3 linked regions of the Saccharomyces cerevisiae S288C genome follow. The gene in region 3 interacts genetically with the main gene of each other region. Each region holds a gene or a part of one and is shown on either strand. Other genes may lie near its edges.

Region 1 (3,757 bases), on a different chromosome or scaffold from region 3:
TTTAAAGAACTAGGCTCATTTGGGGTATTGACACCTGTGGTAGTATTCGTGGATCTCATATGACTTGATCCAACTTCGTGACACCAATACCTATGATATCCCCATGCTTTTAATTGACACTTTCGTGAGCAATATTTCGTTCTTTTGCATCGACGACATTTTGCAAATTGTCTTGGAAAATCTTCCCATTTTCCGCACGAAAAATTGGCACACTGACGCACACCTAAGATCTCATTTTTTCGACATGAATTTCTCATGATGACAGAACTCCAATATATAACATCATGTGTATTTTCTGCGCTCACTGTATATTTTTCGACTAAGGGGAAGATGTTTACAACATTTGTTAGTACCTTGTTTTTGTAAACAATATTTGTTAATTCCTTTTTCATTTTATCGTAGCTCCAGCGCCTTTCAAAGTTATCAGATATTTTCTTCCTTAAATTAATTCTTTCCTTGTCTTTGCCATAGGCATTGTCGTCGCTAGGTTTCGGTACACGGTAGCGCTCAAACAAATTAAGAACGGGACAGTGGTTATTACATATTTCATTTTGTTCTTCTTGTTGACATCTGTTTGAGAGTTCTTCTAATTCTTTGAAAAATGGATCCATTTTGCTAGTATCTAGTGCCTTAACTTTGGAATTGTTTTCAGGATTTTTCGATAAATAAGGATATAATGAAGACAATTTTACAGTTACGTCTCTTTCTTGTTCTTCTAAGTCATTCTCTTCTGAGATTCTCTGTTTAATTTTGTAAGCCATACTTCTGAACGATAGGGATTCAACCAGCTCAACATTTTGAAGGGTTGATTTCATATATGTATACTTCGAAACAAAAGCTAATAACTGAAGCGACCATATAACGTCGTCTTGTTTGGGGACAATTCTTCCGAGAAAAAATTCACGTGGAGTGGAAATTGTAGGTCTATTAATGTCTGGTTGCGAAAAGAAATTCTTATGTGCATCAAAATTTTCACTTTCTACTTCACTATCAATATCAATGTCGTCGTCGTGTCTTTCCTGGTCAGGTTCAAAATTGCTAGCTAGGTCTGCAAACCGGCCCCATATATCACTAAAATCAGTTGGAATTGTCATAGACGGTGCCACTAATCGTTCGTTTAGAAAATTTTTGTCAGTTGACAACTTCAATTTATCCTGACCTGTAATGAACTCTATATACTGCTGATATGTTTCATTCTCATCTTTTCTCATGAATTTATACATTGTCTCCGTGGTTATCCCTTTGAAGTCAAAGGTCATTGTTTGATCTTTGATGAAGTCGTAATTTTTATGATATAGTAAATAGTTATCCAATACTGTGACCAGCACAGATAAGACCCCAGACATTACCACTTTTTTACGAATTTGTTCTGTCCCTCTAGTACCTGTCAATACTAAGCACTGAAATGTTAAAGTCCATTTCCAAGCGCATAGTGCTAGTCTTTTCTCCTTCCATAGATCCTTTATGTTTTCGTGCTCATTAAAATTTTCTAAATCCAAATCCAGCAACTCAAACAAACTTAAATGACAACTCCTCAATATTGAGACTAATCTTTCGAGAGCACCGTCGTTAGCTACCGTTTCCCTAACTTTTGATGAATTAGAGGTTAGATATGTTAAGTAGTTTAGGGAGTTTATTAACGGAATACTAGAGTTGATATCCAATGCCCTTCGGTCATAGACAGTAGATGTTATTGTTACTATAGGCTTGTTCGACGTTAATGATCGATGATTAGAGTCTCTCATTTCTTTACCTTTTCTTTGTTTTGAATATTTCAAATTACGTTCTATACGCTGTTATGATATGTTAATATAGCAAAAACAAACAAAAACTCCCAGGGAAATGAATTGAAAAATGCAACAAATAGGGACCTCACCTTTGTATAATGGAAGATTCCCAAGTTTCACTTATAGTTGATCAATGGGTATGATGAAATTAGCAAAGTAAAAAAGGGAATGTTTAATGGTTCAACTTAGATAAATGGAAGGTTGAATATGAGAACCAACAAAAATAAAAAATAAATAAAGTCTCAAATTATCTATATCGCTCTAATGAGGAAGTCACTGTGCACACTTACAGAAACTATATAAAAAACGGATATTTTTCTCTTCAGGTAGGGAAGTTTGTCCAGCACTTTCTTCCTTGTGAGCTGCTCTAGGTCTTTCGTTTGTATAGGCCGACCATCAATAACCCAACTCTCAAATTTTGCCACTGAACACCCATACAATACATAACCAAAGTATTCTAGTTGTTATCCTAGCTCGATGCATTGTTGTAGTAGGCCTAATAAGAAGATAGTTCAACCAAGAAAAATAGTCAAAAGGCTTTTTGCCGTTTGAACCATCATAAACTTATGGAAGCCATCTAAATAATTTTCCTTTTTCCTGGTTCCTTTCTATGTATCCAAAGATATATATTAAGTAGCCCACTTCTAGCCAACTTCTAGCCCACTTCTTAGGTAGTAACTATACGCAGCTGCTCCAGGAGGGAAAGAAAAAACCAACGGTCTATATTGTAATAACTATTAGTTTTCTTTCTCTTTCCGTGGGCTTCAACGGCCTTTATATAGCTCTTATTATTCGGAGTTGCTATTGGCGGCTAATATCTTGCGAAAAACGTGAGAATATGAACTTTAAAGTACACATGACTCGATTACTGATAACAAAATTGAGAGGGAAATACATAAGTCAAAATAATAAATGTCTGATGGACCATCTAACAGTTCACCTCGATCTACATATATTTCAATGCGAGAATGATTAATTCTTGCCATTGACAAACAACCCTTTTACTGCCAGCGCCTTTCATAACCATGTAGTTTTATATGCCTAATTATAATAAAGCATGACATATAATGCCAACCCCATATTTATATAGTTAACTTGAAACCGAGATTCATCTATTGCACCAGGAAAAGTGCCTTCTTCTTAAAACATAAGTTACGTCCCGACCATTCATCTAAACGGCATCAATCATTGCAGCAGAAGAAATAGTGTGTAGATGTCCTCGTTCGCTAGACGCAGTCAATGATAACAAGGTCTTTCTTCAAGCTGTCTTTCCATAAAAAGGTATCGCAAATGGGGTCACCAATGCGCCTTTTATTTTTCACGCCGAAAGAAAACTTAGTAGGTCCCTAGAAATGAATAAAGAGGTGATTCTGAGGTTCATTATAAGCCTTTGGTAAAACTTGAACCAAGAAAGATTAAAACACAAAGCCATGCCTATCAAAGAAACTGATAAAGAAGTTGTTTTGACTCATCCAGCTGATGAGACCACCAGCGTTCATATTCTAAAGTACGGTGCTACAGTTTATTCTTGGAAATTGAAATCTGAAGAACAGTTGTGGTTGTCTACTGCTGCTAAATTGGATGGTAGCAAACCTGTGAGAGGTGGTATACCTTTGGTCTTTCCTGTATTCGGGAAAAATAGCACCGATGAACATTTGAGTAAATTACCTCAACATGGTCTTGCAAGAAATTCTACTTGGGAGTTTTTGGGTCAAACTAAGGAAAACCCACCGACCGTACAATTTGGCTTGAAACCAGAAATTGCTAACCCAGAATTGACCAAATTGTGGCCAATGGATTATCTTTTGATTTTGACTGTTGAATTAGGCTCCGATTATTTGAAAACTGCCATAGAAGTAGAAAACACATCTAGTTCCAAGGAATTAAAGTTCAACTGGTTGTTCCATACATACTTCCGTATCGAAGATATTGAAGGAACAATGGTCTCTAATTTAGCTGGCATGAAACTT
Region 2 (3,640 bases), 630 kb from region 3:
AGTCAATTGACGCCTCTGTTGCTGCTGCTGCTGTTGTTGTTGTTGTTGTTGATTTCTTAATTGTTGCGCAACCTGTTGCCTTGCCTGAGCCTGCTGATTCAAGAACATCTGTGGGTTTAGATTCATATTGACATTCATATTATTGGCGCTGTTGCCAGAATTTTTCAAGTTGTTAATATGGTGCTGTTCCACGGGTTTAATGTTGTTATTAGCGGCAGCAGCAGTAACGGCGTTTTTCCTCGTATTGTACGTGTTGCGCATGACAGCAACTTTTTCGTTCATGCTGTCCATGTATTCTTTCTTTGAAGAGCTCTTTGCGAACAAAGCTGCCTCGAAGTTTTTGGCATGAATTCTTATCTTATCAGCAGTGTCGGAGCTCCCTCCGTTCAGAGTGTTAATGTCCATGAGCACCTGAAGCAACCCGTTGACGTTCTTCGCACGCTCGGCATTGGACAGAGTGTCTTTGTCTTGGACAGGAGCAGCAGACATAGCAGATTTAAAAGAAATAGCGTTTTAATCCTTGATCTTTGAGTACGGCACTATACGAAACGATACGCTTATAAAAATGGGGTTTAACTAACAAAGAAAAATATACCAGCACAAGTATATAGCAATGTCGTGGAAGTACTTCTTTGTGGAACCAGCTGTTTCCAGAGACAAATTCCTAGTCCTTGTGAATGGTTGACTATTAAAAGTTTGACTGTAAAGGTTAAGCACCTTCATCATCCTCATCCATAATATAATTTTCTGATCGACGCAACCGGGGCCGGGGTGGAAGGAAGGCCCGATTCGAAATAAAAAAGAGGCCGCCACAATGTAGGGTAATGCCTAATTATATTAACTAGAGACTGACTGAATCATATTACTTAGTTACTACTACTCTTATCATGCAAGAAGATGTGAAAAAGCGTCTTCCCCCAAATCATATAACTTCTGCACCATCCGTGGACTGTACAGGTTCAGCGGGGGAATATGTAATTGCTTGTTAGGATTGCTCTTGGGACCGTAGTATCGCGACAAGGAAGTCTGTGTAGTTCCACTTGATGTGGGCTGCCTCGCCGCTTCTTTTGCAGTCCCTAACCTTATATAGATGCGCACGCGCCAAAGCATGAGGGTACTCCATCATGTCTGTTGCACAAATATCGTAGGTTACTTGACGCTAACGTCATGTTTGATGCTCCGTTAACGAAGAGAATCGGAGCTCTTCATCTTAATCAGGCTCTTTTATAGCTCAATCATCAGTGGAAAAAATTCTTCGAACTAGAAAAAAATCAAGAAGTGAAAAAACTAAAACCGCCAACTGGCTACCCGGATAAGCCCCATAATGGCGTTCCTAGGGCTAGAAGAATTTCAAATCGATGACAGCTGATAGAAAGCGCCAGAGATATGTAGCCTTCCATCAGTAGTAATATCCAATAAATTGGGCACCATGGTTTGGCAATCAGGCTTTTTACCCTCGCCCTCTTTTCCTTCGCCTTTTACCTCTTCTGCATCCAATTTCAGCGTACGTACACAATGATTGACTTTGGAAATTTTCACTTTTTTCCACTCGAAGAAAAAAAATTCCAAACACGGTTCTCCGGTATTTAGGCATCGAATAAACTTTGCTAATCGACTAAAAGCATCTCTGCATATCTATACGTGTATATATTGTATTCGCTACAGCTCGCTCCTTGCATCAACTCTTTTTTTCTTTTTTTTCTTCCAGGTTAATCAATTACTGTACTGTAGCTTCTTTTTTATATTTTTTAGGTTTTCATATAGTGTCTTACGCAAATAGGCGGACCATAGAATGACTGTCACCATAAAAGAATTGACTAACCACAACTACATTGACCACGAACTATCAGCCACTTTAGACTCAACGGATGCGTTCGAGGGTCCCGAGAAGTTGCTGGAAATCTGGTTCTTCCCTCACAAGAAGTCCATCACGACCGAAAAGACATTAAGAAATATTGGCATGGATAGATGGATCGAGATTTTGAAATTAGTGAAATGCGAAGTTCTTTCCATGAAGAAGACTAAAGAACTGGATGCCTTTTTGTTGAGTGAGTCTTCCCTCTTCGTCTTCGATCACAAATTGACGATGAAGACGTGCGGTACTACAACCACATTGTTCTGTCTCGAAAAGCTTTTCCAGATCGTTGAGCAAGAGTTATCGTGGGCTTTCCGCACAACACAAGGGGGCAAGTACAAACCATTTAAAGTGTTTTATTCTAGACGATGTTTCCTTTTCCCCTGTAAGCAAGCCGCTATCCATCAAAACTGGGCTGACGAAGTCGACTATTTGAACAAATTTTTCGACAATGGTAAAAGTTATTCCGTGGGAAGAAATGACAAGAGCAACCACTGGAACCTGTACGTCACCGAGACGGACCGCTCCACACCTAAGGGAAAGGAGTACATCGAGGATGACGACGAAACTTTCGAAGTACTGATGACGGAGCTGGACCCAGAATGCGCTAGTAAGTTTGTTTGCGGGCCTGAGGCATCCACAACCGCTCTCGTGGAGCCAAACGAAGATAAGGGCCACAACCTCGGCTACCAAATGACTAAAAATACAAGGCTTGACGAAATATATGTCAACTCGGCCCAAGACTCCGATTTATCATTTCACCACGATGCATTTGCGTTCACGCCATGTGGATACTCATCCAATATGATTCTCGCTGAAAAATACTATTACACCCTGCACGTGACTCCGGAAAAGGGTTGGTCTTACGCCTCTTTCGAAAGTAACATACCCGTATTTGACATTTCCCAAGGGAAGCAAGACAACTTGGACGTTCTTCTACATATTCTGAACGTTTTTCAACCAAGAGAGTTCTCGATGACCTTTTTTACCAAAAATTATCAGAACCAATCCTTCCAAAAACTACTAAGCATCAACGAGTCACTGCCCGACTACATCAAGTTAGACAAAATTGTTTATGATCTGGACGACTACCACCTTTTCTATATGAAATTGCAGAAGAAAATATGAAAAGCCGCCATTTGTGTCTCCTCATACTTACATAGAATAGCCCTCTTCTATTATCCTTCGCTTGCTTTCTAGCACTCATAACTAATGTAGTTTAACCCGCTTGTATATCTTCTACATCATTACCCCGCATGCTTTTTTTTTTCCTCTAGAGAAAACCGGCACAGATTGGCCGGACCCGGAACAGGAAAAATGGCCACTGAAAATTCCTGGCCAGACCACCCCTGAGCTAAGGGAGTTTAGCCGCTCAAGCTTTTATTTCCTCTGATGTAATATATCACACACCCAGACACGGTTGCCAAGGCCTCGACGGAAGGCCGCTTCAAGGGACGGGGCAGTGGCTATCAGAAATACCTTAATATCATCAATATTTTTCATCAATCGCAAGGTGTCAAACATCAATAAAGGATGATGCTCAAAGGTTTATGCCCGATGTTCTTCTAATCCCCTTTCTCTCCTAAAATAATCCTTTTTTTACTCTTCTTCTTTTCCCCTGTTTCCATTTTTGTCTTTTCTCACCCCTTATGGGACATCAATAATGCAAGTATGTTTATACATTTTTATATAAATGTATATATAAATGCCATTTCTTACACATAACCTCCATTCTTTGGTTAATTCTTTCTTCATTCTTTTTTTTTTCATTCTGAAAAGCCCTCC
Region 3 (3,757 bases):
TTCGGATTGCTCGGCAGTAAACATTGTCATGGGTAATCTTCTCCCCTGTTGCAGTCTCGCTTGTGCTTGTTGTGCCTGTTGTGCCTGTTGCGCTTGTTGCGCCTGTTGTGCTTGGAATTGTGCCTGCTGCATCTGCGCCTGCTGGGGCATAGGAGAATTTATCTGCGAACCTGGCATCACATTTGAATCCTGTATGTTGTGTTCTTGTAATGATCGATTTTGCGGTTGAAGCTCGGAATTATTAAGGTTTAAGTTATTATGGTTTGAGTTATCTGGTTTCTCCGCAGCATTTTCTCCATTGTTTGCTGGTGTTGGTGAAAAATTAGTTGCATTTAATGAACCAACCGAAGATTGCCGTTGTGGTAGCATGTTATTACCACCATTGCTATTTAATGGCATCTGTGTTTGCATGATTGGTGATTGATGAGCAGAAGTGCTAAAGGTCTCATTTCCATTCAATTGCATATTCGGAGCTAAATGCGGGGAAGCAGAAGCAGAAATGTGCGAGGAAGCATTATTCGGCAGTTCTGCTTGATCTGAAGAATTTGGAACAATATTTTGCTGAGAACCTGAAATGCCTTGCTGTTGGCGTTGCATTTGTAATTCTTGTCGCTGCTTGGCAGCAAATTGCAACACTTTAGTCAAATAGATAAATTCCGGCACACTCGGAGCGTTCATTCCGTGTTCATTTCTCAAATGCTGCCATCTTAAATAGCAGCGGTTGACCTCTTCGTTGCTAAATTGACGCTGTGGTATGTTCATGGCAGATAATTAATCGAAAGTCGTGAAAATAGCAGAAAGTCGCGATTAGAGAAACAACAGAATAGCTGACCTTCCCGATGATTTATATACAAAAGGTCCACGTACGTCACAAATATCTTCTTTATTGAGACTAGAGGTAACCTTTCTTTTAACTTATTGTCCTACCGCCTCAGGATGGCCCCGTTTCGTCAATCAATTTGTTGATATTTGTCTTTCAAACGCGGTTTTAACATATCGCGAACAACGGTATTCGGGTAACAGCCTATCACTATTTTTACCGGCGGCTATTTTTCCTAAACCTAGTATATATACGCGAAAATTGGCTACCTGCAAAATTCCAATAGTGGCGAATGTATTGGAATTAATCTGCAAGGAAAATAAGCGTTAGGAACTTCAACTGTATTTTGCTCACTAATTCTTCTTCATCATGTCTTCTTCTTTTTTTTTCAATTACTTGTTAGTTCTTAGTGTCCTTATGTTCACTCAGAATAGCCATTAAGAATCGTGTCTTTTTGGAAGTGAAGGAGTTTCAATAAAAAGAAAAAAGCGAATATTTCAACACTGTGTTCTAAGAAAAGGCTCTATAGCTTTTTTTATTAGTTTTATTAATTTGAAAAATGCCTTGTTTGTTTTATATATATATATGTGTGTATTTAGGGCAGCCGCGGCCAACAGGGGGTATGGGTATGAAGAGGTGATAGAAGAGTGAAAAATGAAAAAAAATGGAAATCAAGGAAAGAGTAGTGAAAAAAAGAAAAAAAGGAAAAAAGGGCAAAAAGAGAACGCAATACCATAGAGTTGGAGGTGTTGGACTTGTGAATTTATTTTTGATTGAAAATAGTTCAGAGTCAATAGATTCTTCTTTAAAATAAAAAGGAGCCCAGACTTACTGATAGATCTTGCATATACTCCGGTAATGGATATTCCCTCTTCAAACCAAATTCAACATGGCCAAAGGAGTGAAAGGAACCGAAGAATGCCGAGGGCTTCTTTTTCTTCTACAGCCACTACTTCTACGGCGGCCACATTGACTTCCGCGATGGTACTGGATCAGAACAATTCGGAACCGTACGCAGGTGCAACATTCGAAGCCGTGCCAAGTTCTATTGTATCATTCCATCACCCTCATTCTTTTCAATCAAGCAACCTCCCAAGTCCGCATTCTTCAGGGAACCTAGAGCAGAGAGGCCGCCGATTGACTGAATCAGAGCCTTTAGTATTATCCTCGGCTGAACAGTCTCGAAGCTCTTCTAGAAACCCTTCTCATTTTCGATTTTTCACTCAGGAGCAAATATCCAATGCTGAAGGCGCTTCCACGTTAGAAAATACAGATTATGACATGGCCTGGGATGCCACCCCCGCTTATGAACAAGATAGAATCTATGGTACGGGCCTATCTTCCAGGCGTTCTTCTATTCGAAGTTTTTCCAGAGCATCATCTCTCTCAAATGCAAAGTCTTATGGATCTTTCAGTAAGAGGGGTCGCTCTGGTTCAAGGGCACCACAAAGGCTGGGAGAAAATTCTGACACTGGGTTCGTTTATCATTCCGCTACACATTCATCATCCAGTTTATCGAGATATACGACCAGAGAAAGAATTCCTATTGAACTAGAAAGTCAAACAGATGAAATACTAGAAGACGAGTCTTCTACACATTCTTTAGAATCTTCAGATAGTAGGCGATCTGCAAGCGAAAATAATAGAGGAAGCTTTTCTGGTCATGATGATGTTCATAATCAGCATAGCGAATATCTAAAACCTGACTATCATGAAAAGTTTTATCCACAGTATGCACCAAACTTGCATTACCAAAGGTTTTACATTGCGGAAGAGGATTTAGTTATTGGTATCGCTGCTTACCAGACCTCAAAATTCTGGTATATTATTTACAACCTGTGCTGCTTCTTGACTTTCGGATTAGTTTATCTTTTAACGAGATGGCTTCCCCATCTCAAAGTTAAATTATATGGCGTGAAAGTGCCATTGGCTAAAGCAGAATGGGTCGTGATAGAAAATGAGTTTGGTGAGTTTGTCATACAACCTATCGATCGACAGTGGTATAATAGACCATTAAGTACTGTTTTACCTTTTGAAAATTACCCTAATCCGTCATATGAACCAAATGATATCAATTTGAGCCACCACCATGCCAATGAAATTAATCCAAATGTGCCTATCTTGATCACATTTGAATACAGATATATTAAGTTCATATATTCACCGCTCGATGATCTCTTTAAAACTAACAATAACTGGATAGATCCTGACTGGGTGGATTTAAGTACCGTATCAAATGGTTTAACTAAGGGGGTTCAAGAAGATAGAGAACTTGCGTTTGGTAAAAATCAAATTAATTTGAGAATGAAAACTACTTCAGAAATTTTATTCAATGAAGTGTTGCATCCGTTTTATGTCTTTCAAGTATTTTCGATAATTTTGTGGGGCATTGATGAATACTACTACTACGCCGCATGCATTTTTTTGATTTCTGTACTGTCTATTTTTGATTCATTGAATGAACAGAAGAAAGTATCGAGAAACTTAGCTGAAATGTCGCACTTTCATTGTGACGTTCGTGTTTTGAGGGATAAGTTTTGGACAACGATAAGCTCATCAGAACTAGTTCCGGGCGATATATATGAAGTATCTGACCCAAATATAACAATATTGCCTTGTGACTCTATTCTTCTGTCCAGTGATTGTATAGTCAATGAATCCATGCTAACTGGTGAATCTGTGCCCGTTTCGAAATTTCCAGCTACGGAAGAAACAATGTACCAATTATGTGACGACTTCCAGAGCACCCAAATATCGAGTTTTGTTTCCAAATCCTTCTTGTATAATGGTACAAATATAATTAGAGCAAGAATTGCCCCCGGGCAAACCGCCGCTTTGGCGATGGTTGTAAGGACAGGATTCTCAACAACAAAGGGCTCCTTGGTTCGTTCCATGGTTTTCCCAAAACCAACTGGTTTTAAATTCTATAGAGATTCC

Evidence for each region.
Region 1: mutations in YPK9 (region 3) and MUB1 together harm fitness more than expected from each alone (negative genetic interaction), as found in Saccharomyces cerevisiae (2 studies listed by BioGRID).
Region 2: mutations in YPK9 (region 3) and SPE2 together harm fitness more than expected from each alone (negative genetic interaction), as found in Saccharomyces cerevisiae (2 studies listed by BioGRID).

Annotation. Positions count from the first base shown.
Region 1 is NC_001145.3:464,288-468,044, reverse strand, and holds the start of MUB1 (MYND-type zinc finger protein MUB1), read right to left. Parts: upstream 1,746-3,757; coding exon 1-1,745. Other genes in the region: YMR099C (glucose-6-phosphate 1-epimerase), read left to right, coding at 3,218-3,757. UniProt on the Saccharomyces cerevisiae protein: Involved in the determination of the onset of polarized growth. Required for the ubiquitin-dependent degradation of RPN4. Cooperates with UBR2 to transfer ubiquitin from RAD6 to RPN4.
Region 2 is NC_001147.6:231,789-235,428, reverse strand, and holds SPE2 (adenosylmethionine decarboxylase SPE2), read left to right. Parts: upstream 1-1,792; coding exon 1,793-2,983; downstream 2,984-3,640. Other genes in the region: GAL11 (Gal11p), read right to left, coding at 1-489.
Region 3 is NC_001147.6:859,497-863,253, forward strand, and holds the start of YPK9 (putative acid anhydride hydrolase), read left to right. Parts: upstream 1-1,678; coding exon 1,679-3,757. Other genes in the region: SWI/SNF catalytic subunit SNF2, read right to left, coding at 1-762. UniProt on the Saccharomyces cerevisiae protein: Vacuolar transporter which plays a role in sequestration of divalent heavy metal ions.